7 linked regions of the Ovis aries genome follow. The protein of the gene in region 1 purifies or fractionates together with the protein of each later gene. This does not show direct contact. Links are inferred from orthologs where the notes say so. Each region holds a gene or a part of one and is shown on either strand. Other genes may lie near its edges. The genes, in order: VAPA, RASSF3, VPS13C, OSBPL9, VPS13A, ARHGEF12 and ZFPL1.

Region 1 (4,443 bases):
ATAATTTTGTGAATAGAAGAAAATCAAAGGATAGGTAGATTTAGAAGATGCTTTTCAAATAATTGGCGCCGTGGTAAAGAATCTGCCTGCTAAGGCAGGTGACATGGTTTCCATCCCTGGGTCCAGAAGACCCTCCTGGAGAAGAAAATGGCAACCCACTCCAGTGTTCTTGCCTGGAGAATCCCCTGGACAGAGTGTCTTGGCGGGCTACAGTCCATGGGGTCGCAGGGAGTCGACAGGACTGAGGACGCACGCATTTCAAACAAATTAAGCTCTGGCAGCCTGTTGAAGGTATACTTGCTCTCCTTGGGCACAGCCTACAGCCTGGTGCGCATGCTAGGTTAGCTACTCCGGAGAGCTGTTCCTAAGTGAGTTCCGATGCCTGGACTGCAGTGAGGACGTGGACTCTGTGTCCACGGCTAGGCCACTGTCCCATTTGTCTGGTTTGTTTTCTAGACCAACTGGGCTCCTCCTCCACCGCGGCAGCATCATTTGAGCGTTGTTTGGCGGTGCTTCCCAGGGATTTGAATTCCAGCAGCACCATGACGGTTGATTTACAGCACACTCATTTGTTTCACGTTCCTGTCCCCGACTACCCTGGCGATCCGTTAAGGACTGGTCAGCAACTCTGCTGTTGGCATTTTTTCCTCCTTCAGCTCAGTTTACTACAGGCTATCTTAAATGCTGCAGATGGAATTCTCTGCCAACATGTGAACGTGACAACTGTTTTGCTTTGGGCTCATCGTTATCAATCAAAACTGAGGATGAGACAGAGCAACAAACACTGTAGATTCTGACTATTATTTCCAGTTTGATAACGCTTGCCTCATCAGGTCCCCAACGACGCGTCCTCGACAGAGGAGGTGTGTTTCTTCAAGGGCTTTTGCATCCCAGAAGAGAATTCGGGAAGCAGGAGCGCTTGGACTGGAGAACCACAGCTGTACCGACGGAGGGATGGATAGAATTAGGGAGGGAGCATACTAACAGATCCTGGCATGTTTTCCTCTGGGAAGCTTCTATACTTCTAACCGAGGAACCTCGGGGCAGTCTCCAAAAGTTGTTTTTCTTTTTTCAGGGCATATGAGACATCCTTTGGGAACCAAAATGAGTGTTGGCACGCGTCACCCCAGCCTCCAACCGACCCTTCTTCCCGCCCGCGCTCAGCCGCTACTACAATTCCCAGCAAGCACCACGCAGAGCCGCAGGAGGACCGGTCCGGCTGGAGACCCCGCCCCGCCCGTAGCATGCTGGGAGTTGTAGTCCACGATCCGGTTCGCTCCTACTTCTGCTATTTGCCATTCCCGCTTGGCAGATGGCGATGGGCTACCATAGCGGGTTTTCCAGTCTAGTCTCGTAACTGCAGCTAAACGTGACCGAGGATTGCGCCCTCCCGCTCTGCGGTGCGCGCCGCGTCAGTCCCAGGGAGCTGAGCTCCGCCCCGTCCACGCCCGCTCCCTTGACAGCTGGGCTAGGCTCAGAGCGCGGCGGGCCAGGGACGCGCAGGCGCAGCAGCCGGTCGCGCCTGGCGGCGTGGAGGGCGGGCCAGGCGCGAGAAATCGCGGCCGCCGGGGCGCGCACGTAGGCACGCAGAGGCGTCACGTGGGGCGCCGAAGATCGCAGTGCGCGTGGCCGCGGCGGCTGGTGTGGGGTTGAGTCAGTTGTGAGACCCGGGGCTGCGGACCGGCGAGCGGCCCAGCTAGTCGCCGACAGAGCGGCGGGTGTCGGGTTCGGGAGCCGAGCGCTGGCCCTGCGTCGAGCCGGGCCGACCCGCGCCGCCGCCGCCCCCCGCCCTCAGCCAGCGACCCGCCGCGGGCGCGCCCCCGCTCTGCGCTGTCTCCGATGGCGTCCGCCTCCGGGACCATGGCGAAGCACGAGCAGATCCTGGTCCTCGACCCGCCCACAGACCTCAAATTCAAAGGTGGGCCGGGGCGGCCTGCGGGAGCGGCGGGCTTGGGGTGGCGACCGCGCCCGGTGGGCCCCCTCCCCCGCCGCCCGCGCCCGACCCGGCCCCGCCCGCGCGGGCGCGCGCGCCCCTCCCGCCGCCATCTTGCGGCCCGCGGGCGCCTCGCTGCGGCGGCGGCCTCGTCCTTGGCCCGCGGGCCGGGGCGGGGTCCGGGCGTGGGCGGCTGGCCGGGGACTCGGGGCAGGCTGGGCGGTCGTCGGTCTGGCGCGGGCGCGGGCCGGGCTTTGCGTCAGTGGGCCGGAGGCGGCGGGCGACACCTGCGCGGGGCGTCACCTGCGCCGGGACCCGGGGGCCGCGGGAGCGACTCGGGCAGTTCTGCTGGGGATGCTGCGGGCGCGGGGAGCTTGCGGAGCCCGTGACTCGTCCTTGATTCCCGGGGCCCCACGAGCACAGGGGCTTGGGACTGTGAGGCCGCTCCAGTGCTTTAGAGAATCAAACCGAAAGAAGTGGAGTGCGAAAGAAAACACCTTGGTTTCCGTAGGACAGGTTTTAAATAGTTTTAGGAGCTTTAAGATGTTGTATTCTGCCGCTATGAGAGTAGTGTTGTATAAACCCTGTATTTTGCAAGGTCTTCAGTTCATTTGCGAGTTTCTTTGAATGGACATGTCAGTGAGCCGCGTGTTAGGTGAGAATTCGGCTTTTTAGACGACTCCACGAAATACTTAGAGAGGCTTCCTAAGTGCATTTTATTGTAGCAAGTTTATGGGCGTAACGTGAGTTTACAAAGTTTTCGCTGAAAGGGGGAAATAAAAGACTTAGGGGAATCATGAATACCAAAGTTCAGGTAATACCTAACTCTAGCTGTTACCTGAGAATGGAAGAATTTAATGTAAACCTTTATGGTAGGTAGGTCTTCTGAGAATTTAAGTGTTTTGTACTTATTTTGGGGGAGGCTGATTTTACAGAGGAAGTTTTCTCCTTGTTAATCCGTGTGTGTTGCCATTAGGGACTTGGACGCCGTTAAAACTAGTTTTAGGTCAAGAAGTATTTATAAGTCGGACAGTTTCTTCTTAGAGAAGTCAGTGTGAAGTCATACTTCAGTATGTTTCAATGACATGCTTCCTGGCTCAGTCGTCTCTGTCTCTGCTGATTCCATGGACTGTAGCCCGCCAGGCTCGTCTGTCCATGGGATTCTCCAGGCAGGAATACTGCCGTGGGTTGTCATTTCCTTCTCCAGGGGATCTTCCCCACCCCGGAATCGAATCTCCGTTTCTTAAGTCTCTTGAATTGCGGGTGAACTTTTTACCGGCGAAATCTTCCTTGGATTCTTTACCGTTTCAGTAGTAAGAGGCTAATAATAGCAAAGAGGCAAGTTAAAGGAACAACCAAAACCCCGACCCAGAGACTTGCCAGATGCTTATTTTAGGTATTGAAGAATTACTAGCTATGATTACAGAACGGATTCTTGTGTTATGGATGAAAGTAATTCACAAGGCCTATTAAAGTTTGGACATTAGTTGACTTTTTTAAAAAAGGATTTCATGGAAAAGTTTATAGGGACACATAGTCAGCTGGGCCATTTACTTAGCAAACACTATTGAAAGCTTTGTACCATCTCTATATTTGATGAAGAGTATTCAACAATGAATAATTTATTCAGCAAACATCAGCTTATATTTGGGGATTCAGTGCTAAGCAAGGTGGAGAAAAGACCCACAGTTAGTTTGTAGTTTAAGGAGTAAAACATGTTTTTTTCTTAGTGCTTGAACTCCCAGACGGAAGAGGCACTCAGATGCTGTAACAGAGGCAAAACAAGTATGAGGAAAGAAGCCCCTTCTTCCTTCCTCCCCACTTGTTTTCGGAGGAGTTGCTCAGTCGCAAAGTCCTGTATGGCTCTGTGACCCCCATGGGCTGTACTGTAGCGCATTGGGCTCCACCCTCCTGCACTGTCTCCCGGAATTTGCTCATTGTTGGGTGATGCTATTTAACCATCTCATCCTCTGCCACGCCCTTCTTTTTGCCTTGAGTTTTTCCCAACATCAGGATCTTTTCCAATGAGTTGGCTCTTCGCATCAGGTTGCCAAAGTATTGGAGCTTCAGCATCAACATCAGTCCTTCCAATGGCTATTCAGGGTTGATTTTCTTTAGGATTGACCAGTTTGATCTGCTTGAAGTCCAAGGGACTCTGAAGAGTCTTATCCGACATCTTTATTGGCTTGCTTTCAAATGGGGAAGTGGGAGGGCAGGTGATGGGAATGGTTTGCTCCTTTCCTGAGGTGAGAAAAGGTTGGCTTGTGCTTAGGCACCCACGGTGTGCTGTGTGCCTCTGTAAGAGTAGAGGATGGGAAGGATTGGGAAAGCAGAGGGTAGGATGAATTGGGAGGCTACATTTGGTGCCATTTGATTCCTTCCTTCCTTAAAAGTTATTCTTTTAGTCAGAGGTAAATAAGTTCTTGATGGAAACCTCTCTGTATTCCAAAGACCAGTTCAGCATTAAGTGAGGAGACTCATTTGGAATCAGCAATTCTCTTCATACTAAT
Region 2 (3,828 bases), on another chromosome or scaffold:
AAGTTCCTGAGATGACTTATAGTCAGCACAGCTCTCTCTGGGTCTCCAGTCAAGGAACTTGAGACCTGAATGGATTTGATGCCCTTAAAGTTCTTTCCTCGCTGGTGGGGGTGTGTTTATCACACTAGCTCACAGTGCCTGTTGGGCGCAAATGCCTACTCGGATAGCCTGCAGCTGCGAGGATGGGGTGATGTATCTGGCTGGAAAAGAGGTACTTTTTAAAGTTTTTATTTAGGGGGTTATTAAATCATCAGATCTTCTATCTTGAAGGTTATTAGGACCCTTCTCTTTTCTGAATTTATTTCCCAGGCTTGAATCTGATTATACACCCTTTCTTTAAGTTTGCAAACTCCCACACAGGAATGGTGGGGGCCTGTTCAGTTTAGTGGAAACAGCATGAGGACCTGGATTAGAATCGAGCTTGGTCTCTTAACCAGTTGGGTTGTCCCTGGCAAGCCACTTGACCTCTGTTAGCCTCAGTGTTTTTGTAACATGGGGATGCTGACGAAGATTAAATGAGGACCCCGGGTGGAAGTACTTGGAGTTACTGAGGGTGGGTAGGCTTTGGGATCAGGTTTTCAGGTAAGTGCCAACACTTCTACAGAGCAGTTTTTATTGGTAGATTAGTTTATGTCTTAGAACTTGATCTCGTCTAGAAACAGAAGTTAAAATGCCTGCTTGGTTAGGTTGTTGGGAGAAGCAAATGCCGTTTAAGTCAGGTGCCTGGCATGCCTGGTTTCAGGGGCCCCAGTACTCTGGAGTGTGGCCATCGGTGATTGACATCAGCTGTCACATGACATCATACACTGGTTGAGCTCTGTAGACAAAACAGTTAGTGAAATTTTCACAGTCAAGAGAGGACTTCACTAAAATCCTCCCCTCCAGAGTGTGGGGGGAGAGACTGGAGGGGTGGGGGTTGAGAGTGGGTGGGTCCAGGAAGTCTGGCTACTTGTGTCTTCCTATGGAAGATTAAATTACCTTCTGGCAGTTGTGTTTGACAGGTCAGTGATTAGTGCCAGTTTAACACTTACTAACTACCATACCTTTTGCTGATAAAGACTGTAAAGCTATAAAAATTGTAAAGTTCATAGGATGTGTGTTTGTGTGCGTGTGTGTGTGCACGCGCGTGTGTGTGCGTGTGTGTGTGTGTGTGTGAGAAGGTAAAGTGCTCATAGTTATCGTTATGTGGCATGTGAAAAGAATCCTGGCTTCTGCATTTTTTCCTGTGATTGCTCATGGATGGTTTGGCTTATTTTTCTTCTAGGATGTGGAGAAAGAGAAGGAAACCCACAATTACCTCAGCAAAGAGGAAATCAAAGAGAAAGTTCATAAATACAACTTAGCAGTCACAGACAAGTTGAAGATGACCTTGGTGAGCACCCGTGCTAATAATACTGTTTAGCTTGAAAGTGTCAAAGGACAATTATAAGTTGTTGGTACCACAGTCTGTATGTTTTAAAATGTCTGAATCACGCTTGCAGAAATTTAAAGATTAAGGTATATAGGACTGGAAAACCAGATATTTCTGCATCTTTCAAATGAAAGCTGTATTTTGAAATTGCTTTATTTCAAAAATCAGTCAACACATCCTAAAATTTTATTTTGAAAGATGTTATGACCTCCAGAGGGTTCTTAGCATTGAGTGTATTAATAATACTCAGCTTCCTACACTGTTGTTTCAACTTTGTGTTTTCTGCAACTTTGTGCCGGAGCTGTTTGAAGCTCAGTGGGGAGCGAGGGTGTAGGAGAGAGAAGACCAGGCTTGGTGACACAGGAAGGGAAGACCATTGCAGAGCCCGCTGCGGGTTCCTCTGGCTGGTCTGGCCTTGCCCTGCTACTTGATGGCCTTCCTCGAGGGACCTGCCATGCCTCGGTGCCAGTGTCCAGGGCCCTGAAGCCCTGCCTGGCCGTCTAGCGACCCTGAACTGATAGAGCTCTGCAAAGGATAGGGCGACCTGGTTAGAACAGGTCCGACTGAATTCTGTGATCCTTGGGGAGGAGCTTTTAAAAAAACACTTGTGAGAAAGGATTCCTGTCTGGTGGGATTCCGCCCAAAAAGGGAGACAGCAGATAATTTCAAGATTATTCCTCTTTATTCCACCAGTCTTACTTTTTCAAACATGGTTTTTATCAAAGCAGAACATTCTCTCCTCCTTGGAGATTAAAACAGATCAAATTTCCATGTCATTTCAAAGATTAAAAAGAAAAAGTGAAATGTTGTATAATACTTTCCACAAATGAGTGAATTAGTATTATAAATTGATCTTGTGGAAAGGAAGAAAAACAATGGCCCATAAAGGAGATTTTTCATGTTCTGTGTTAACTGTCATTTATATATAACTTAACCTGAAGGCTCATTTAAATAAACCATTACAATATTCATTTTTTTCTGAATATACTAGAAGTTAAAAGTGAAGACCAGACCATTATAACTATTTCTAGCAACTAAAATATTCTACCGCCAGTTAAGACACCACCTGTTAGTCTACCACCTGTGGTCCAGTGGTTAGGACTCCACGTTTCTACTGCAGGAGGCCCTGGTTAGGATATTAGGATCCTGGATGCTGGGTGGCCTGGCCAAACAAAAAAACAAAAGGAAACACAAGTGTTTGTATCATAATGTCTGTGGTTTACATTGTAACTTGAATTTGTTGTAAAAATATTGCTGCTTGAGGTGTCTGAAGTGCCTCATTGTGTATCCCATGCTTAGTGGGGAATCCTACGCTATATAAAATAGTTTATGCAAAGTTGGTAATAGCGGGTACATAGGAGCCACTAGGAATGAAAATAGCTTGTTTTCTTCCCGTCTGCTTCTTGTTATTTGAGTATTTCAGAGTCCTAATTGTGACTTTCCTTTTTTGTGTAATAGCTGGTCATCAGTTGGAGATGTTGTTTCCTTTGCGCAGTTAGCCTGCACATGGCCCCAAGCTTTAACAAGCCCTGTGGTTTGGCCAGCATCTGTGCCAGGGGATGGGAGGCTCACCCGTGGGCCCTGACCTTTCACATGCAGCTTCACAGGCTTTGGTCCCCACATCTGCCCTGCAGACCTTGCCTGAGAAGCACTTCGCTGGAGTGTGTTAACCTTTCCGAGGTCATCTCCTGAGGGGCCGCCTTGAGTGAGCCTCTGCCGCAAAGCCATAAAAGAAGAGAACAAGAGAGGGAGTGTTTCACCTTCCTTTTCTGTTGTTGTCTTGATACGCTCCTTCCCTAAAATGCCCAGCTCATGTGTGTGTTCTTCTTCCTGCCTCAGAATTCAAATGGGATTTACACTGGCTTCATTAAAGTACAGATGGAACTATGCAAACCTTCCCAGGCTGCTGGAAAACCCGCTCCCAGTAGCAATGGCTGTATGAACACCCTTCACATCAGCAGCACAAACACGGTTGGCGAAGTGATTGAGGCCCTGCTTAAGAAGTTTCTTGTGACCGAGAGCCCTACCAAGTTTGCACTTTATAAGCGGTGTCACAGGGAAGATCAAGGTACCATGCTTGAAATGAAAATGATCCCTGCTTTTGTTTCTGTCTTTTGACTTCATTCATGGAAGACTGGTGGATGTACCTGTATCAGTTATGTCAGAGCCCAGGGACATATTCTGAAATAAATGGTGAATGCGTCCTGGCTGTCTGTGTTTTTCAGGTGGACAGCTCTCGGTCTGCGAGCCCCGAGGTATTTGTATGTGAATTATGTGATGGGTATTTATGGAGGATTTATGGGATAGCCTCCCTCTTCCTGGGCTTTCCCGGTAGCTCAGATGGTAAAGCATCTGCCTACAATGTGGGAGACCCGGGTTTGATCCCTGGGTTGGAAAGATCCCCTGGAGAAGGAAAC
Region 3 (3,828 bases), on another chromosome or scaffold:
TAGTTGCACCTTAGATAGCTTGTCAGAATAGTTTGACATCACTTTCCTTCTTTTATTTGTATGAGAACCATTAAGTGTAGAATGTGAATAAAGGATGAAGCTGAAGCACAGGCTGTTATGTGGCTCGTGTAATGACATATCTCTTAATGGAAATAGCCAGTGTTCTTGCATCCAGCCTTAGATTCTTGACATGGGTCTGACTTTTTCTCAAAACTAACAGCCATTGGCTTGCTGATGGCTGAATGACAACTTCTGCCTTTGGCTATGATACAGTGTTTTCTTTTTAGTCCTTAGTAATTGTTGGATATTCATAATACGTAAAGATGGTACCTTGAAGACTTCTCAGTTAATGTGAATCTGGTAGGTAATTTAGTATTTGTATAAGATAGGGAAGTTATTGCAGAGATTTTTTTTAAAATTGGTAAGCAAATTTAGTTTTTGTTTGTTTTTAGGGAACAGCAGAAACTCATGAGCTGACCGAAGGCAGTGCAGCCAATGTTCTACATTCACGAATCAGTGGAGAAATAATGGAATTAGTTCTGGTGAAATATCAGGGCAAAAACTGGAATGGACATTTCCGTATATGCAGTACACTTCCCGAATTCTTCCTTGTGTGTTTTTCTTCTGACTCCGCAGAAACGTTGACAGTTGACCTGTCAATACATGTCAAGCGAATTGGCAGCCAGATGGAGCTCTCCATTTTCAGTCCCTACTGGCTAATCAACAAGACTTCTCGGGTTCTCCAGTATCGTGCAGAAGATACGCATGTGAAACATCCAGCTGATTTTAGGGATATTGTTTTATTCTCTTTCAAGAAGAAGAACATTTTTAGTAAAAATAAGGTGTGTTTTTGTTGATAAAAACAAATTATTCAGTGTCATTGGTATGTATTAGATCCAAGACTACTTTTAAGGACTACATGATTAAGTGGGCTATTAGGAACTAACAACAATAGTGTCCCAAGGCTGGGGTATCTTTTTCTCCAGTGCCCCTAGAATTACTTCTGTTCTTGACATAGTGTCAAGTGGAAAGCTTGACTTTATGTAGGTTACCAGTGATGCAATGGGGTTTCAAAAGAGAGAGCCGTTGAATTTGGTTTATTTTAACTGAGCCTCATATGTATGAAGGATTAAGGCGGGCCTTCGAGAGAAAAACAAAGCCTAAGGCCTGATCTGATCCTTTTTGCTCTGGTTGTTTCTTTCCTTTGCAAACTCACATCTTTATATTGCTCACCTCTGGGCTTTTGTGTAGCTGCACCTGCTTAGAATGTCTTTTGCCCTACGCTTTCCCTGTCTGCTTCTTGTTTTCCCGTTATCACTGTTCATGCTTTGACATTCTGCTCCAGCCTGACATGTGTGAAAGATTTTCTGATCCTCTAAAGCAGAGCTAGATATCCCATGCATGTTCTGTTAGAGCAGTGCTTTTCAATCTCAATCTCAATGTGCAACAGAGTCACCTAGAGGGCTTTGAAAACAGACTGCTGAGCCAGGCCCCCATAGTGCAGTTCAGTAGTCTTGAGTAGGGCCTGGAACCATACTTTGAGAACCTCTGTCATAAAGTGTTGATTAATGCTTGATATTGTACCTGTTTATGTGTCTGACCTGTGGTTATACTCAGGTTTTTATCATCTGCTGGGTAGATGGAGGTTAATAGAGGAGCAGAATTAGATTTCTTCTGTATAACTTTACCTTTTCCCATAGCCATAAGTAAGCTTTTTATCCTGTCAGTTTGATAGGATTTTATCCCTCTTATGTGGCTGTTATCACATTAAGTCTTGCCTTATAATTATTAGTGTGTATTTTCTGTCTCTGTTTAGTTGGAAGCTTACTGAGGACAGGTATTGTGTCTTCCGTTCTCCTTATCACAACACTTTTCGTTGTTTGCTGAATAATAAAAGCATAAATTCCCTGTGTGTGCTAAAGTTTTAAGAATTCATTAGCTCTATATCAAAAACCTGACACTGCAAAATATCGCTTTACTTTTTAATTCCTTCCTAAGTAACAGAAGTTCTCATTGGTATACAGCTTTAAATTCATTATACTCATCGCAGAGGTGAATGCAAAGGAAGTTTAGAGCTCTGCTTTTATTGTATTGTCCCCTAGAGTTCCTGTGCTTCTTTACCCACTTGCAGCATGCCTTTGATAATACTTTTCTGTGTCTCATGTTATTAAATAAATGTCTAGTGGTCTAGCACCTATCCATCAAATAAAATTAATACAGTGTTTTAGATTTCTTATATGATTGTCTGTGTTCTCTGGTGTAGGTACAATTAAAAATTTCAACTAGTTCGTGGTCCAGTGGTTTTTCATTGGATACAGTGGGAAGTTATGGATGTGTGAAGTGTCCTGCCAACAACATGGAGTACCTGGTAAGGTTTTTGCTGGCTTATTTACCTCTGATTTCATTCACGTTTTCTTCACTAAATAAGCTGGAAATCCTCAGGGGTATAGAAATGTGAATTCAGAGTATTACATGGAGGATGTCTACTATTACGTTATGTCTGTCTATTTATTTCTAGTACAGTTAGTATCAAAGCAAAGCCTAAATTTGTCAGAGTTTAAGACAGTGATTTGAATACATTTAAGGAAGGAATTTAGTAAATACACAGAATTACTAGAATCCACATTCCATACCACTCCCTGCCAAAACGTCATAAATCTTAAATTTCACTGCAACAATTTAAATAATCTGATACTAGTTGTTTTATTACCTCATTGAAATTTTTATTTCATTTTATTGATAGCAGAGAGAATAAAGCAGCAAAGGAAAGGGTACACTGATTTTAAAACAATTTATTTTGGACTGTGAAAAAGTAAAGGATTTTTAAATATTAAGTTTGTTATTATAAGTCATCATTAGTTAAATTACTGATAGATATTTCTTGAATTGGTTTCTGCTGGTCCCAGACTAAGGATCTGAAATTTTTCTTCTTAGTGAGAAGATAGTCATGGAATATGGTTCTTTTTAGTTACTCTATTTAAGAAATCCTATTTTAAAATACTTGAAGAAGACTGTGAGTGAATAGCTGTGTGTGTTTCAAGCTGTGTAAAGTACTGGGAAATGATAAACTTGTTTGTTTCCTTTCCACAGGTTGGTGTCAGCATCAAAATGAGCAGTTTTAATCTTACACGAATAGTTACTTTGACTCCCTTTTATACCATTGAGAACAAGTCATCATTAGAACTAGAAGTTGGTGAAATTGCATCTGATGGCTCACTGCCAACTAATAAATGGAACTATATTGCTTCTTCAGAGGTAATAATTTTCCTTTAATATAACTGGCTCCTAAAATGTACAATTCTGCGGTAGTTTGAGCATTCTTTGGTGTTGGCTTTCTTTGGGATTGGAATGAAAACTGACCTTTTCCTGTCCTGTGGCCACTGCTGAGTTTCCCGTTTGCTGGCATATTGAGTGCAGCACTTTCACAGCATCATCTTTCAGGATTTGAAAGAGCTCAACTGGAATTCCATCACCTCCGCTAGCTTTGTTCGTAGTGACGCTTTCTAAGGCCCACTTGACTTCACATTCCAGGATGTCTGGCTCTAGATGAGTGATCACATCATCATGATTATCTGGGTCGTGAAGATCTTTTTTGTACAGTTCTTCCGTGTATTCTTGCCACCTCTTCTTAATATCTTCTGCTTCTGTTAGGTCCATACCATTTCTGTCCTTTATTGAGCCCATCTTTGCATGAAATGTTCCCTTGGTATCTCTAATTTTCTTGAAGAGGTCTCTAGTCTTTCCCATTCTGTTGTTTTCCTCGATTTCTTTGCATTGATCGCTGAAGAAGGCTTTCTTATCTTTTCCATGGAAAAAGCAAAAGAGTTC
Region 4 (3,082 bases), on another chromosome or scaffold:
AAAGGGCAGGTGGGTAATTCCTGACCACATTCAAGGATGTTCTTTGAAAGGTAAAGGATTTTCCCTATGCAGCCAGTTGTTTCTCTGGGTTAAGGGAGTTGGGGGTGGGGGGCATGTATGTTTATGGTGTGTATGTTTATAAATAAAATGAGGCTATATAGTGCACTAAACAAAACAATTTCTCTTCAGTTTCAGCCTTTTATGCTGAGTGTTTTAATAAGAAGATACAATTCAATGCTCATATCTGGACCAAGTCAAAATTCCTTGGGATGTCAATTGGGGTGCACAACATAGGGCAGGGTAAGTCTGTGGGCTTTGGGTGGACTACAGTGTTGATGGGAGAACTCTTTGTCATTCTTATATGTGCTGGCCATCTGTCTAGTAAGAGGAAATGACCCCAGAAAGTCAGACTGGAAGTCATTGTGTACAGGGAAGCAAGTGTGTTGGGGGTGAGAGCCAGGTTGAGATGCAAGAGTGATTATCCCTAAACTGAATGGAGATTCCATCAGTTGCTTACCTGAGATTCCATCCCTTCTCTCCACAGGCTGTGTCTCGTGTCTAGAGCATGACGAACATTACATTCTCACATTCCCCAATGGTTATGGCAGGCAAGTAGAGCAGTTCCGTTCCTCTGATGCGTGAGCAGTAGGCCCTGCTATTCTTTAAGTTGTGCCCCTCCTTTCTTTCCTCTGAACTGTCAGCCTTACTGAAACTTTTGATTTTGCAGGTCTATCCTCACAGTGCCCTGGGTGGAACTAGGCGGAGAATGCAGTATTAATTGTTCCAAAACTGGCTATAGTGCAAATATCGTCTTCCACACTAAACCTTTCTATGGGGGCAAGAAGCACAGAATTACTGCTGAGATTTTGTAGGTATTTTGTTTTTCTGCTTCGATGCTCCTTCTGTATCTCTAAAATAGTTTTCCTTTTGTCGTGAACTATAACTTCCACCAAGAATGACCATTCTAATGGTCCTGTCTTTGTAAACTTATTTTACATGCTGTGTTTCATGTCTCTTCCTAAAATCCCATCTCAGAAGGAGACCTAAGAACAATCTGAGGTCACTGGTGGGATTTCCTTCCTAGGAACCTGACTTGCAAATAGGAACTTAAGGAGTCTTCCTGGATCTCGTAGCCAACCCAGATTATGTATGCTTAACTCATTATTGCTGGATTGGATCATGAGCTTGTCCATACAGTAGACCCTGTGACACCCACTATAGTGTCTCAAAGCCCTTATGGTCCTTGTTTTTTTGTGTGCCTTTGCTGGGGAAAAACAGTAACCATTGTATCTTTGTTTGGTTCTGTTTGACGCTCCAGGATTAGATGAAGACGTCTGTGTTGTCCAAGTCAGCAGTCAGTTGGGTTCAGAGCCTGCCTAGACAAGGAGACCCTGCAGGGATTTCTCTGTCCTCAGAGGCCTCACTGGGAGCAGTGTTGCAGATGGCAGACACAGGATTGGTTAACCCGTTTTTTAGGGAGATAATTTAATTTTGATGATGGAATCAACATCCAGAAAATTCTTGGAAGGAAGGAAGGAGGAAGGAACCATGAACAAAAGATGAAGTTTACTAAGGAACACTGTGAAATCCAAAATATTACTGCAGTCAGAAAATAGGGGCAGAGCTTAGGGAGCAGCACAAGTCACCACTATAATGTGGCTGCTCCCCTCAGACAGGGGAAAAGGATGTCCAGAACAAAGACATGGGTGGGCCTGCTTCCCAGAGTTCCTTAAAGCAGCCAGCACCAATAGGAACTGCTAGCAGATTTTTTGGCCAATCACAGTAATTTATAATAGACTGCCTTCTGAAAGAGTGCTTGGTGGGCTTCTCAGATAACATCTTAATATTATGGCCCAGCCTGAAGATGAAAGTCTTGTCTCCATCATTGTATCCTTAAGCAAAGCCCTCCTTGACCCTCATCGTAGCAGTGTTGCCCTTGATCTCGCGTGGTTGCCTGGACATAACAGCACTTTCCACCCAGAATTTCAGTGGCAGTGTCTCCCCACTAGACTGTGAAGACCTTGAGTTTGTAGTCTGCCGTGGTCCCAGCACCTAACATATCTCCTCATACCCACAGTTTCTGGGATCTTGAATCCATTAGCAGCATCTTTATGGCATTAATTCTTGTAGTTGGCTCTGAGAAAACCAGTTTGATTAATCTACCTTTACAGTTGCTCTTCTGTGTTTGCTCTGGGTAGGTAGGCCACAACTGACAAGATTCTTTGGTAGAGAAATTTCAATTTGAGACTGACACAAATGTGTTTTAATGTTTGTTTTTTGTTTTTAATGTAGTTCTCCAAATGACAAGAAGTCTTTCTGCTCAATTGAAGGGGAATGGAATGGTGTAATGTATGCAAAATACTCAACAGGGGTAAGAACATCATGTGTTTTGCCACTTGTTTCAGGCTTCATTGAATCGTAGCCTGTCCCTTACTCTGGCTTCCTTCATCTGGAAATTTTAACCACCAAGATGAGCTCTAATGCCATCTCTTCAAGCCAAGCCTTTTCCTTCTTCCACCTTTCCCCAGCAGTACAGGTAGTAGAATGATTTTTACTTTCCTCTCCCCTTAAAATACTCAATAATATATGGGGAAAAGTGCTCAGAGTACTTAACATTAGGATTAGTTGTTTAGCTAGTCCAAGAGATTACATCCCAATCATATTACATCCCAACACAGAGCCACATTGAAAATATCTATTTTTACCAAGAGCCTTTACCAAGACTTAAAACAATTTAGGCTTTAGATTGCATATGGAACTCATTGTCTATATCACTAACATATTGTGGGATTTCAGTATTAAATCTGTTAATGGGAAGAGTTGACTTTTTCTCTTAGAATAGTGTGAACAATAAAACATCTACCTATCTTTTCTGTTTTCTAGGAAAATGTAGTTTTTATAGATACCAAGAAATTGCCTATAATTAAGAAGAAAGTAAGGAAGCTGGAAGATCAGAATGAGTACGAATCCCGCTGGTAAGGAGACAACGAACTATATAGAGTCGTGGCAGCAGTGCTCTTGCTATTGGCCAGGCGTAGGCGCAAGGCCGGGTTGTGGACTGCACAGCAGGGTGTGACGGAGC
Region 5 (4,542 bases), on another chromosome or scaffold:
AGAGGCCATGTATATTATGATTCAATTTACATGAAACGTCCAGAATTGGCAACCAATAGAAGACAAAAAGTGTATTAGTGATTGCCAGAGAACATGGGGATAAATTTGTAGTGATTGTTAACAGGTATGAGATCTATTTTTGGAGTGTTGAAAATGTTCTGGAATTAGATGTAGTGACAGTTGCACAATTTTGATGCATGCCACACACGAATGCCTCTCAAATTTATTTCATTTAGTAAGTGAAAGGAATGAACTAAGAAATCAGGTCCACAAAGATACATACCACATAATTCCATTTATATGGCACTCTAGAAAAGGCAAAACTGTAGGGATGGAAAACAACCAATGGTTGCCAGGAGGAAGGGTAGGAGTTGGGTGGGAGACTACAAAGGGGCAGCAGAGGGAATTCTGAGATGTGGAAAACAGTGGCTGACTTTATTTTTCTGGGCTCCAAAATCACTGCAGATGGTGACTGCAGCCATGAAATTAAAAGATGCTTACTCCTTGGAAGGAAAGTTATGACCAACCTAGATAGCATATTCAAAAGCAGAGACATTACTTTGCCAACAAAGGTCTGTCTAGTCAAGGTTATGGTTTTTCCAGTCGTCATGTATGGATGTGAGAGCTGGACTGTGAATAAAACTGAGTGCCAAAGAACTGATGCTTTTAAACTGTGGTGTTGGAGAAGACTCTTGAGAGTTCCCTGGACTGCAAGGAGATCCAACCAGTCCATCCTAAAGGAGATCAGTCCTGGGTGTTCATTGGAAGGACTGATGCTGAAGCTGAAACTCCAATACTTTGGCCACCTGATGTGAAGAGCTGACTCATTGGAAAAGACCCTGATGTTGGGAAAGATTGAGGGCAGCAGAAGGGGATGACAGAGGATGAGATGGTTGGATGGCATCACCAACTCAATGGACATGAGTTTGGGTAAACCCCGAGAGTTGGTGAGGGACAGGGAGGCCTGGTGAGCTGTGGTCCACGGGGTTACAAAGAGTCTGACGCGACTGAGCGACTGAACTGATGTTTCTTCTGTATCAAGGTTGTGATGCTGGATACATGCTTCCTTGTATTTGTCAAACTGATAGAACTGTGCATCACAAGAGTGAATTTAGTGTATGAGTATTTCAAATTAACATATCCACTGATAAATCAAACTCTACACCAACCTCCACCTTGAAGTAGAAGCAATTTTCAACTATAGGTTAAAAGCAAAGCATATCACAAAATGTTCTCAAGGCTTCCTACTGAGGTGGGTGGAGACAAGTTTTATCATTACTATTTTACAAATGAAAAGCAGCACAGATTAAACTATCTGTAAATTTCTGGTACTAGTCCGAGATGCTGAGCTAGCATTTATATTCTTCATTCCTGCAGTCCCACTCTCTACCAAGGTAAAAGTGAAAGTGAAAGTGAAGTCGTGTCCAACTCTTTGCAACCCCATGAACAGTAGCCTGCACCAGGCTCCTCCATCCATGGGATTTTCTAGGCAAGAGTACTGGAGTGGCTTGCCATTTCCTTCTCCAGGTAATCTTTCTGACCCAGGGATCGAACCCAGGTCTCCCGTATTGTAGACAAATGCTTTACCATCTGAGCCACCAGGGAAGGTACTAGATATCAACAGTAGTTAACAAGAGGTTTTCTTTATCAAACTAAATTACTTATTTACACTATTAAGTAAAGGAGAAATATCACGATAAATAAGTACTTTAGAAGAAAGCTGTCAAGTGTGTGCATATTCAAAAAGACTAAAATTTTAAAATATATCTATATATTACTCACACAAGGAGATTAACCCTAGCTTTGGCCTGGGAAAGACATTTCACAAGAAAAAGAATCTAATTTCTAATGGGTGTTTAAAATAGATAAGCGTGTAATACAAAAACAGGCGGAAGCACAGCACTAAAATTGAAACGCCAAATAAAGAAATACACCAGAACGGATACAAAGTAAAGCATCAGTCCTTCACCATCCAACTTCACATCTCACTTAGCGTAAGGACAGCGCACCTAGCTTCTTTAAAATTTCAGTAATTCAATGTGACCCACAAAGCCCCAAACCCTTAACAGGCTTGATACACTGCTGGGTTCAGGTTGTAAATTGACAACACACCATCAATCTTTCGAGCGATCCTGCACAGGAGTTTTCGCTCTGTTATCAGCCGAACCCAGGCGAGCCTCCCGGACTCGAGGCGGTGAGGCCGGAAGGGGGAGCGGAGCAGCCAGCAGGGTTTGGCCGTACCCCGAGGCTGGGCGCGGAAGGAGGACGGCATCTCCGGTCACAGCTCCTTGCTTTCACGTGCGGGGCGGCGTGCGGCCCTCCGTGGGCTGCCCGGGCCTCCATCACAATCCAAGGGGCGAAAATGACAGGGACCAGACCAAGCCCAGGTGTGTCTCGAGGCCGCCCCTCGCCCAACACAGCTGAAACCAGACCGCGAAGGGCAGAAAAGGGCGGCTCGGTGGAATTTGAACTCCAGACCCTTGGAGTCCACTGTGGGCCCCTTGGGCCGAAAGGCGGCGGGGGGCGGGGGGGGTGGCCTTTTCATCCGGCATCAGAGACCCCAATCCCCGCCGGCCAAAACACTAACTCGCCGGTGGAGGCCCGGCAACTGCCTCCCGGCTCTACGTAACAGGACCCCAAACGAGTCGGCGGCAGGTGGCAGAGTGGGGCCCGAGGCCCCAGGAAGGCAGGGCCGGCTCTGTCAACGGAAGCACGGGAGGCGAGATGGCGGTCTCGTTACCTGCCCAGATGCCCAGACTGAGCTGGGACGTGTCCAGGTTCACCACATAGTCCCCCAAGAACCGGTTCAACACGTCCACGACCACCGACTCGAACACCATCTTCCTCAGCCGCGGTGGACGCGGCGCTTCTTCTTCCTGCGCCTGCCCTCTCGAGCCCCTCTCACGAGACTGCTCGGTTCACCGGCTCCTGGGCGGCTCCGACCGTGGTGCCACCAGCGCCGCACGCGTAGCCCCGCCACGAGCCCTATGAGGGGCGGAGGCGGTCGCTCGCGCTACGCATGTGCGGCTCGGGATCCAGAGTTGGGCGGAGCGCGAGGCCCGAGAAAAAGCTAAGGCGGCTGCGCGGCCGCCTCTCCAGCGTTTGCCCTAGTCGGGCGGAGCGCGGCTCCTTTTTCTCCTCGGCCCCGCCTCTTCCCCCATCGCCAGGCAACCGAACAGGTACCTGGAGTTACTGGACATTTCTGACCCCGCCCCCACCGGCAGCCTGGCCTCCCCACTGGTGCCGGGGGCGGGGGCGGGGGCGGGGGCGGGGCGGGGGCGGGGGCGGGGGACGGGACGCCAGGGGGCGCGGCGGTTACTCCGTGCCTGGAACGCCCCGCCCCTAACTGAGGAGACACGCCCCCACGTGGGCAGGGAGGTCCTAAATCTGGGTAAAGCGGCTGCAGATTAAAAGTGCCTTCCGCATTTGTTAGGCTGGAGGCTCTCAAGTGGAGTCCCGGGGAGCTACGCACTTATTATTACAAGTGGGGAGGTACAGGCGGAACCCGGGCAGTGCTGGCTTCCCAGGTCAGTCCAGCCTGAGTGTCTGGATGCCTGTAACTGCCCCGTTCAGTCCTACGAACGCTTGGAGAGGTTACACAGTCGATGACTTAACTTCCGTGGCTGCAAATCGAGAGAGGAAAGAAAAGTAAATTCTGGGTTGTAATTCCATGGTCCTTTCCCTTCATCTGAGATCGCACTCTCTTGGTCTGGTTATTTAGACGGAGCTGACTTTCGTCCCTTAGAGTCAACCAGTTTTGACTGACACTGCTGAGCGCCCTCCTACGAAGACCTGAAGACCTAAGACTCACAGCCCCTGAGCCTTCACAGAATGACCTTGAATAAATACATAAAAATTAGAGCTCTTTCAGAACCACTCCCACAGCCGTGTTTGGTTTTATACAGAAAGAGGGCCAAAGACCTGAGGTTGTGAAGGCCAAACACGCTGGATGTGAAGTCTGGAGAACTATAATTAATAACCCTCTAAGGATTTAAGAGATCATAAAGGTGGTCATCGGAGAAGGCAATGGCAACCCACTCCAGTACTCTTGTCTGGCAAATCCCATGGACGGAGGAGCCTGGTAGGCTGCAGTCCATGGGGTCGCTAAGGACTGAGTGACTTCACTTTCGCTTTTTACTTTCATGCATTGGAGAAGGAAAATGGCAGCCCATTCCAGTATTCTTGCCTGGAGAATCCCAGGGACGGTGGAGCCTGGTGGGCTGCTATCTATGGGGTCGCACAGAGTCGGATACGACTGAAGCAACTTAGCAGCAGCAGCAAAGGTGGTCATGTATGGATGTGAGACTTGGACAGTGAAGAAGGCTGAGCGCCGAAGAATTGATGCTTTTGAACTGTGGTGTTGGAGAAGACTCTTGAGAGTCCCTTGGACTACAAGGAGATCCAACCAATCCATTCTAAAGGAGATCAGCCCTGGGTGTTCTTTGGAAGGAATGATGCTAAAGCTGAAACTCCAGTACTTTGGCCACCTCATGCAAATTGACTCATTGGAAAAGACTCTGATGCTGGGAGGGATTGGGGGCA
Region 6 (3,828 bases), on another chromosome or scaffold:
TCACCTCAGTAGAGAGGGCGTTTCTACATGTATTTCTATTACTTACAACACTTCTTCAATTTTGGCGACAATCTGTTCTGCACATGCCCGTTCTTTCTCCAAAGTTAACCGGTCCTTGTCTCGCTCGACATCAAGTTTAGTCAGTTCGCTTTCAGCCAAGGTCAGCCCCATGCTGCGCTTCTGCCTAAAGGGAATAGGAGAAATTTCCTGAGGTAGCCTAGAGGGTAATTTCCTGAGTTACCTAGAGGGTACTATCTCCCTCTGGAGATGCTTCACCAGAGTTTCCATAGTTATGAATTTCTAGCAACAGGTAAAATGTCACGGTTTTCTGTGTGGGGGCCCACGTCACCTGGGACACTGGAGGAAGAAAATTCTAGAGGAAGTCACTCAACAGAACACATATCTTGAAGGACACACTTGGCACAGACAGCTACTACGCTCAATTCCTGCCAGCCATAAGGAAAGGGGACCATGCACTCTCAGTACCATGCCAACCTTTCGACGCCGGAAGTTCATTAGGTTTTAGTAACAATGACAGAGACCATATGTTATGCCAAGGAATGTATAACCTGTTCCTACCTAAAAAGAAAATTAATTCAGGACAACCATATCAGCTTCTGTCGACCACAAGGCTTACCGAAAATCTTCCAAGTGCCTCTGAACTTCTGGGTGGACTCTTTCTTGCATAGTTTGGATATAGTGGCGATGTAGATCCTCAGGAATAAGCTCTGGTCGTCTTTTTTCTGCATAAATACAAGAAATCACCTGATCTAAAGGCACATTTTGTGCATTGTAACTGGCACTACTTGGTGTGAACTTAACTTGAAGTAAGATAAAGAGATAATATATTTTAAGTATTTTAATCTTAGAACTCACATTTCATTTACTCTTAAATGTATTATAGGCTCTTTTACTGTTGTGATTCATATGACCTACTAGTTACTGTGTAACAGATAAAACCTCTAGAGAAGAGCTGAGCTACCTATCTACAGAGATGTAATCCTCTAGCACATTGGTGCTCCAGACTTACCTAGATCTACTGATATTTCATCAGGAACAGAAACCTTCAGGTGCTAAAACAAAAATGCAAACAAAAAGTGAAATTGCACTAAGGGTCTTTCAGGATCCATATCAGTACTTACACAAAATAAAGAGAAAGAACTTGAATACCTATAAGTATATTCATGTATAAGCTCATTTTGGGAGTACCGCCCATCTAAATTTCCCAGCTTTGGAATATTCTATGGTTTGAACTTGAAAAGAAGCCCACTCCCCAAGGATCATGTTATAAAGGAAATACCTAAAATCTGTTTTACTAGATGACTGAATGCTTTTGTGCCTTATTTATTCCTGTTGGCTTTGGCTTTCTAGAATGAATGAATATTGCTTTGGGCTTTCGAGAATCACTGGTTAAGATAATCGGTCACACACTGTTTGAATCAATATAGGTAAAAACCTAAACTATATGTAGATCACCATATGAAAACTTTACTCATGTATAACAATTTTATTCACTGTATTTTAGACACTCACACTGAAGACCATGATATTCCCAATCATATTGGTATATATAGCTAAAGAACCCTCATCAGAAGTCATGTTCCCAACGAGAAAGTGCTGGATATCAACGTTGAAGCTCTGGAGTCTCAAATCTCTAGTTCTTACATCTGCAGTTTTTACTACTGAAATAAGATGACCATGTCATAATTAACTTCTTCTTAGCTATGTTTTTTCACATGACAACTGCAGTCTGTGAGCCCATTACCAGATAATTTTCTCCTGTTAATTTGGGAAATGTCTCAGAAAAAATTATTTTGCATTTGGAGAAAGTATATTATCTTCTTCAAATTTACTCTGTATTATACACCCACTTAAGTCATATCCTTCCGGAATTTAAAAAAAAATTAATGTAAGATCTGAAGTTTTACATCTGAAAATAAGTTACTGCTAAAAATTGAGAGCTCTAAAATTTATTTGAAGAGCAGTTAAAATGGATTTCAAAGCTTTCTCTTTATCTGAGGTTGCCATAAAGTAGCTCAAGCCAACTTTCCAGAAATACTTCTAGCACAAATATAAGAAAGTATATATATGTTCATTTCTGTATGTGGGTATTTATATGAAATAATATCACCTGTGGCATAAAAGAGCCACGTGGCAGAGCTGTTCTCCTGGGTTCCCTTATCCTACTGCTCTCCACCCGGGTACCCTTTCCCAATAAAATCTCTTGCTTTGTCAGCACACGTGTCTCCTCAGACAATTCATTTCCAAGTGTTAGACAAGAGCCCAGTTTCGGGCCCTGGAAGAGGTCCTCCTTCCTGCAACAAATGGCGACCCAGATGGGACTCTTCTTGGCTGAGACTGACATCCTGACCACTCGGGGTACTCAGGGGCCAGCTTGCCTGCCAGTGGACCAGACCCAGCGGCCACAACTGGGACCCTTTTGTCCCTGGTCTCCTCCTGACGAGGACAACTGGCCACAGTGCCCCAACTGGTAAGGAACAAGAGACTTTATTGACCTCTCTCCCCTTCCCTCTCCCTTTCCTCTCCTTAACGCTTCCTATCCTTCCCTGTTTTTCTAGTCCCCCGGTCCTGGACGCAGGAATCTGGTCAAAGGGCCCTCAGCCTGAGCTGAGGATTGGAGACTGATCATCTCCCCTTGGCAGCATAAAAGAATAATTAGGAAATTAATCTAGCAGGGTTCTTACACTTTGATGTTAATAAGCTTATATAGACCACGAGCAGCAAAATATAAGAAATCACCTGATCTAAAGGCACATTCTGTGCCTTAGCATGGAATGCTCTTAAGAAATGTCAAGTTTACATAAACTTCAGTATACTGTCATTTCTTCATTGAAGAAAATCATCTTAATAAATATAATGTGTAATATTTTAAACAATGGCATTATAATCAGAACCCTAACTAATCCACTCAGCAACTATCTCAGTGACCACTCTGTCAGGATCTATTCAGTTTTGGGGAAACAGCAGTGAACAAACAGAACAAAAGACATCTGCCCTAATGGAGCTTACATTCAGGGCAGAAGAGCAGGAATACAGATGGATAAAATTAAAAAAATAAATAAATTCTGTGGACAAAAATAACACAGGAAAGGTGACAGAAAGCAAGGGGGATGAAAGTTTAAGTAAACTGGTCAGGGAAGGTCTCACTGAGAAGGTACTGAAAAGGGAACTCCCCAGGTCGGTAGGTGCCCAATATGCTACTGGAGATCAGTGGAGAAATAACTCCAGAAAGAATGAAGGGATGGAGCCAAAGAAAAAACAATACCCCGCTGTGGATGTGACTGGTGATAGAAGCAAGGTCCGATGCTGTAAAGAGCAACAGGAACCTGGAATGTCAGGTCCATGAATCAAGGCAAATTGGAAGCGGTCAAACAGGAGATGGCAAGAGTGAACATCAACATTCTAGGAATCAGCGAACTAAAACGGACTGGAGTGGGTGAATTTAACTCAGATGACCATTATATCTACTACTGTGGGCAGGAATCCCTTAGAAGAAATGGAGTAGCCATCATAGTCAACAAAAGAGTCCGAAATGCAGTACCTGGATGCAATCTCAAAAACAACAGAATGATCTCTGTTCGTTTCCAAGGCAAACCATTCAATATCACGGTAATCCAAGTCTACGCCCCAACCAGTAATGCTGAAGAAGCTGAAGTTGAATGGTTCTATGAAGATCTACAAGACCTTTTAGAACTAACACCCAAAAAAGATGTCCTTTTCATTATAGGGGACTGGAATGCAAAAGTAGGAAGTCAAGAAACACTTGGAGTAACAGGCAAATTTGACCTTGGAGTATGGAATGAAGCA
Region 7 (4,384 bases), on another chromosome or scaffold:
GTTCAAGACATTATAAGTTACTGAGTAAAAGAGGCTAGAAAGGAGAAAAAGTAGTAAGATCCAACTCAACTTTAAAAGGAAAATGGTAGAGAATACCAAGGCATTAAACGCACCAAGTGTGTAGGAAGTAAGCAAGCCTGGCAACATATGCAGGTGTCCAAAGGCAAACTGTTTCAAAATACAGCAAAAACAACTCCCTGGGCAGACATGAATGAGTGAGTGAAAGTCGCTCACTTGTGTCCAACTCTTTGCGACTCCAGGCCAGAATACTGGAGTGGGTAGCCTTTCCCTTCGCCAGGGGATCTTCCCAACCCAGGAATCGAACCCAGGTCTCCCGCATTGCAGGCAGATTCTTTACCAGCCGAGCCACAAGACATGAGCAGCCATTATATCCCACCCCAGCTGTAGAGTGTCTGTCCTGGACTCCCCTTAACTAAGAAAATGAAAATGAACTTACCCGGGGGCTTCTTCGAGGAGAGTTAATGGATGTGATCTGTGGGGACAACGAGTTGATCACACAGCCGACTCCCGATCCTGGCTCTCCACCTACAACCCCTCTCTCAGCCCTCACCTCTACAGTATGGGCCACGATCTTCTTCAAGACGATGGGCTTTCTGATTGGAGCCTCCTGAGGCGCCTGGAGAAGAGGAGTGAACATGAGGTCTATATTAGCCCAGAGGCTTCCAGGGCAGGAGGAACCTGAGGCTCACCTTAGGCAAGATTTCCGGGAGGGTGTTTGGGAGATCAGAGCCTGATTTCCGCTGGGACCTCCGCAGAGACCGAGTGGGAGTTGGGGCGCTGGGTCCTGCAATCAGAAAAATTTAGGAGGTAGGGGAGGGCTCTAGGCCTGAGTCTAGACAACAGGTTCTGAAGAAAGAGAGAGAAGGTTCCCAAACAGGCCCTTTGGGGGCGCCTTCCTGGCCAGGAGACGAGGGAGCCTTGGAGGGCGGCGGGCGGGGGAGGGGGGTTCCTCACCGAACTGCGTCCCTCAAACGGCTCAACCCCACCTCTCCCGCGCGCCCCCTCCGCTCACCGGGGCACTGGGCGGCCCCTCCGGACCGGGTTCGTCTCTCGGACATGTCTAGCTTTGGTCTCTATCCCCTCTGCTGCAGGTGCCGCCACCAGAGCGCGCGCCAACCCGAAGGGTAAACGTTCGAATTACCCGCCTTGCGCGGGAGGAAGCGGAAGTGACGTAAGGGGGAGGGCCGCGAGATCCGCTCACTCCTTTTTCCACCCTCCTCCATGTCTAGCGTCTACAGGGGCGGGGTCACTGGCACCCTGACGTCATCAGAGCGCGCCGCACCCGGAAGAGACGTGGCAGCCGAGGGATAATCGGAGCGTTGTGAGCTGGAGAGAGCTGGGCGAGAGCTTGGCTGAACGCGGTCTGACCTTCCGCTCTTCGGACCGGCCCTCGCGCCCGTGAGGACCGGTGCCGCAGCCGATTAGTAACACAGAGAGTGGGGTCTGTGGAGAAGGTGGGGGCGGGGCATGGAGGGGGTGGGGCTCAGGAGGGACCTCTGGGGGCGGGGCCGGTGGTATTGGAGAGACTGATGGAGGGGCCTGCCCAAGGATGGGATGAGGGACGAATGCGGGGGTCTCAGGAGGCGGGATTTATGCAGGGGCCGTGGCCCAGAATATAGAGAGACGGTGGGCAGGAGTTTGGGGTTGGAGCGGATACGTGCGGTGTCTAGGGAAGTTAAGAGTGGAAACAAACTGGGCTGGTAAATGTGTAGAGGTCAGCAGAATCTGGCTTCCTGCCAACTGTGACGCTTTCCTCAGGGTCGACTATGGGACTTTGCAAGTGCCCCAAGAGGAAGGTGACCAACCTATTCTGCTTCGAACACCGGGTCAACGTCTGCGAGCACTGCCTGGTAGCCAATCACGCCAAGGTGGGTGTTCATGTTAGAGACTGAGCAGGGCACTAGGTGGGCAGGTCGTCGACTTTCCTCCAAATTAATGAAAGGTCTGGCCCTAGAATGGGAGCTCCGCAAGGGCAGGGACTTAGTTTATTTTGTTCACTGTTGTATCCCCAGTGCTTAAGACAGAGTCTGGCACATATGTGCTCAATGAATGTTTATTGATTGGTCAAACGAAAGAATGAATCTCCTCTGTGATGACAGAAAAAGAGGCACCTGGGCCTTGGGGAGACGGGCTGTGGAGCCCTGGCTCCAGTTGTGACCCCCTTCTCCCACTTCAGTGCATCGTCCAGTCCTACCTGCAGTGGCTCCAAGATAGCGATTACAACCCCAATTGCCGCCTGTGTAACATACCCCTGGCTGCTCGGGAGACAACCCGCCTCATCTGTTATGGTGAGGCCTGGGCACCTTGGGGGTGGGGATCTGGACAAGACCAGTGTGACTGGTTTCCAGCGGCTCCCCAAGCAGCAGGACAGTGAGACCTTCAAGCTTGGGAGGCTGGAACTCAGATTCTGGTCCCACTAGGTAACTTACCTGCTGTGTGAGCTCAGGCAAGCCACTTTCCCTTCCTAGGCCTTAGTGTTTTTCCCTAAAAACTAAGCTCCTAGCTTCCTGCCTGCCAATCTCTCAGGTGTGGTTGTGGCTCTGAGCAGTAGCTGGCTGTACCTGTAGTGAGCTGAAAGCAGGGGGCTCTCAGACGTTCAGGATCTATTTCTAATTCCAACATTACACAGAGAGGAACTGAATTTCCCACAGTAACGTCAGTTAAAAGAAGTCAACAGAGGCATGTGTCATGATCTTGACCCGACTCTGCTGTAAGAGCCTTAGCTCCACTTTTTGAGCTTAACGTATGTGTTTCTCACTGTGAGTGTGTGTTTATATGTTCATGAGTTAAACGTGTGTTGTGTCTTTACCTGTTAGTGTATTCATTGCTACTGTGGGTGAGTGAATGGGTCAGTGTTGTATATGAATATATGAGCATGTTGTGAGGTTGCAGAATTCCTGGGTGTGAATGCTTGGGTATTGGCATACTTGAGTGTATGTGAGAGTAAGTGTGCCTATAAGTGTGGATATAGGGGATGGCACTTGTGTTTGACTACGTGTATATAAACGTGTACATTTGTGCCGATGGATGTGTACACGCATCCAGGTGCCTGTGTATATGTCTAGTAACCTTTTGAGCTCTTAGCCCAGTGAGTTTGTGATGAGTGCAGGTGCAGAGAGGACTCCCGGAGAGGGTAGGTGGCATATTCATCCCACTTCCCCCGACCCCCTAGGGGCTGGGCAGCCTGTTAGCATCTGCCCTATCTTAGACAGTGGTGGCCAGGAAGACCAAAGTCTTAAGGTACACTGATATAATCTACCTGGGAAGGAGGGGGCCCTGGGCTTACACACGTGTGCAGATATCTCTGCAGTGGGCTAGTGGACTAGGGGTCCTAAGTGTCTTCTTCATGTCTTTCCTCCACTACTTCGTGGCCTCTAAGATCTCTTCCACTGGGCCTGTCTCAATGAGCGTGCTGCCCAGCTCCCCCGAAACACAGCACCTGCTGGCTACCAGTGCCCCAGCTGCAGTGGCCCCATCTTCCCTCCAACCAACCTGGCTGGCCCCGTGGCCTCTGCGCTGAGAGAGAAGCTGGCCACGGTCAACTGGGCCCGGGCAGGACTGGGTCTTCCTCTGGTGAGAATCTTTCTGCCCTGGGTCCCACCTGGGCCAGAGGGGTGGGTCGGGACAGCACTGGGCAGACTGGTGACATTAGTTCTTTCCTCCAGATTGACGAGCTGGTGAGCCCAGAGCCTGAACCCCTCAACACATCCGAGTTCTCTGACTGGTCCAGCTTTAATGGTAAGTGGTACCCTCCACTGCTGATGGGGTCCTTGCCTTCCCACCCTGCTGACCGCTCTCTTCCTGCCCATAGCCAGCGGTAGCCCTGAACAGGAAGAGACAGCCAGTGCTTCTGCTGCCCCAACCTTCTACAGCCAAGCCCCCCGGCCCCCTGCCTCCCCGAGCCGGCCTGAACAGCACACGGTGATCCACATGGGCAATCCAGAGCCTCTGACTCATGGTGAGCTGGGGAATTGTCCAGGCGAGATGGGGATAGAATGGGGGGCGGGTATGTGGAGGGAGCTCGGCAGTCCACCCACCCACCCACCCACAGAACCCTTCCTGTTCCATCAGACGTCACCTCCCCACGATCCCAATATGCTCTGTCAGGCTGAAAAGTGCTAGGGTCTCCTGTCCTCCCCCCCTCCCCACCCCTCTCTGGGCCAGTTTCCTGAACCTATGGATGCTGGTGGCTCTGCCCCTGCAGCCTCAGCCCCGAGGAAGGTGTATGACACACGGGATGATGAGCGGGCACCAGGCCTCCACCGGGATTATGATGACGACAAGTACCGGCGCCGGCCAGCCCTGGGGTGGCTGGCCCAGCTGCTCAGGTACACAGAGTCAGGTGGGGCAGGATGCTAGGAAC

The links.
Region 2: the proteins of VAPA (region 1) and RASSF3 purify together in Homo sapiens (co-immunoprecipitation; 3 studies listed by BioGRID and IntAct, with this or other methods). This does not show direct contact. The link is inferred for Ovis aries from reciprocal best matches to the Homo sapiens genes VAPA and RASSF3.
Region 3: the proteins of VAPA (region 1) and VPS13C purify together in Homo sapiens (co-immunoprecipitation; 3 studies listed by BioGRID and IntAct, counting the BioPlex papers as one, with this or other methods). This does not show direct contact. The link is inferred for Ovis aries from reciprocal best matches to the Homo sapiens genes VAPA and VPS13C.
Region 4: the proteins of VAPA (region 1) and OSBPL9 purify together in Homo sapiens (co-immunoprecipitation; 5 studies listed by BioGRID and IntAct, counting the BioPlex papers as one, with this or other methods). This does not show direct contact. The link is inferred for Ovis aries from reciprocal best matches to the Homo sapiens genes VAPA and OSBPL9.
Region 5: the proteins of VAPA (region 1) and VPS13A purify together in Homo sapiens (co-immunoprecipitation; 3 studies listed by BioGRID and IntAct, counting the BioPlex papers as one, with this or other methods). This does not show direct contact. The link is inferred for Ovis aries from reciprocal best matches to the Homo sapiens genes VAPA and VPS13A.
Region 6: the proteins of VAPA (region 1) and ARHGEF12 purify together in Homo sapiens (affinity purification with mass spectrometry; 5 studies listed by BioGRID and IntAct, counting the BioPlex papers as one, with this or other methods). This does not show direct contact. The link is inferred for Ovis aries from reciprocal best matches to the Homo sapiens genes VAPA and ARHGEF12.
Region 7: the proteins of VAPA (region 1) and ZFPL1 purify together in Homo sapiens (co-immunoprecipitation; 3 studies listed by BioGRID and IntAct, counting the BioPlex papers as one, with this or other methods). This does not show direct contact. The link is inferred for Ovis aries from reciprocal best matches to the Homo sapiens genes VAPA and ZFPL1.

The regions. Positions count from the first base shown.
Region 1 is NC_056076.1:42,407,320-42,411,762, forward strand, and holds the start of VAPA (vesicle-associated membrane protein-associated protein A), read left to right. Parts: upstream 1-1,588; 5' UTR 1,589-1,839; coding exon 1,840-1,918; intron 1,919-4,443. UniProt on the Homo sapiens protein: Endoplasmic reticulum (ER)-anchored protein that mediates the formation of contact sites between the ER and endosomes via interaction with FFAT motif-containing proteins such as STARD3 or WDR44.
Region 2 is NC_056056.1:155,283,599-155,287,426, reverse strand, and holds part of RASSF3 (ras association domain-containing protein 3), read left to right. Parts: intron 1-1,264; coding exon 1,265-1,372; intron 1,373-3,250; coding exon 3,251-3,479; intron 3,480-3,828.
Region 3 is NC_056060.1:46,363,191-46,367,018, forward strand, and holds part of VPS13C (intermembrane lipid transfer protein VPS13C), read left to right. Parts: intron 1-452; coding exon 453-842; intron 843-2,263; coding exon 2,264-2,368; intron 2,369-3,090; coding exon 3,091-3,255; intron 3,256-3,828. UniProt on the Homo sapiens protein: Mediates the transfer of lipids between membranes at organelle contact sites. Necessary for proper mitochondrial function and maintenance of mitochondrial transmembrane potential.
Region 4 is NC_056054.1:26,203,519-26,206,600, forward strand, and holds part of OSBPL9 (oxysterol-binding protein-related protein 9), read left to right. Parts: intron 1-189; coding exon 190-300; intron 301-544; coding exon 545-608; intron 609-727; coding exon 728-868; intron 869-2,292; coding exon 2,293-2,371; intron 2,372-2,883; coding exon 2,884-2,975; intron 2,976-3,082. UniProt on the Homo sapiens protein: Interacts with OSBPL11 to function as lipid transfer proteins.
Region 5 is NC_056055.1:59,659,180-59,663,721, forward strand, and holds the start of VPS13A (intermembrane lipid transfer protein VPS13A), read right to left. Parts: upstream 2,990-4,542; 5' UTR 2,841-2,989; coding exon 2,741-2,840; intron 1-2,740. UniProt on the Homo sapiens protein: Mediates the transfer of lipids between membranes at organelle contact sites. Binds phospholipids. Required for the formation or stabilization of ER-mitochondria contact sites which enable transfer of lipids between the ER and mitochondria.
Region 6 is NC_056068.1:30,761,207-30,765,034, reverse strand, and holds part of ARHGEF12 (rho guanine nucleotide exchange factor 12), read right to left. Parts: intron 1,074-3,828; coding exon 1,031-1,073; intron 744-1,030; coding exon 638-743; intron 185-637; coding exon 47-184; intron 1-46. UniProt on the Homo sapiens protein: May play a role in the regulation of RhoA GTPase by guanine nucleotide-binding alpha-12 (GNA12) and alpha-13 (GNA13). Acts as guanine nucleotide exchange factor (GEF) for RhoA GTPase and may act as GTPase-activating protein (GAP) for GNA12 and GNA13.
Region 7 is NC_056074.1:39,745,960-39,750,343, forward strand, and holds the start of ZFPL1 (zinc finger protein-like 1), read left to right. Parts: upstream 1-1,308; 5' UTR 1,309-1,361; exon of another isoform or gene 1,362-1,462; intron 1,463-1,525; exon of another isoform or gene 1,526-1,647; intron 1,648-1,779; 5' UTR 1,780-1,787; coding exon 1,788-1,889; intron 1,890-2,197; coding exon 2,198-2,309; intron 2,310-3,400; coding exon 3,401-3,594; intron 3,595-3,686; coding exon 3,687-3,759; intron 3,760-3,832; coding exon 3,833-3,979; intron 3,980-4,225; coding exon 4,226-4,349; intron 4,350-4,384. Other genes in the region: sororin, read right to left, coding at 458-637, 711-805, 1,034-1,079. UniProt on the Homo sapiens protein: Required for cis-Golgi integrity and efficient ER to Golgi transport. Involved in the maintenance of the integrity of the cis-Golgi, possibly via its interaction with GOLGA2/GM130.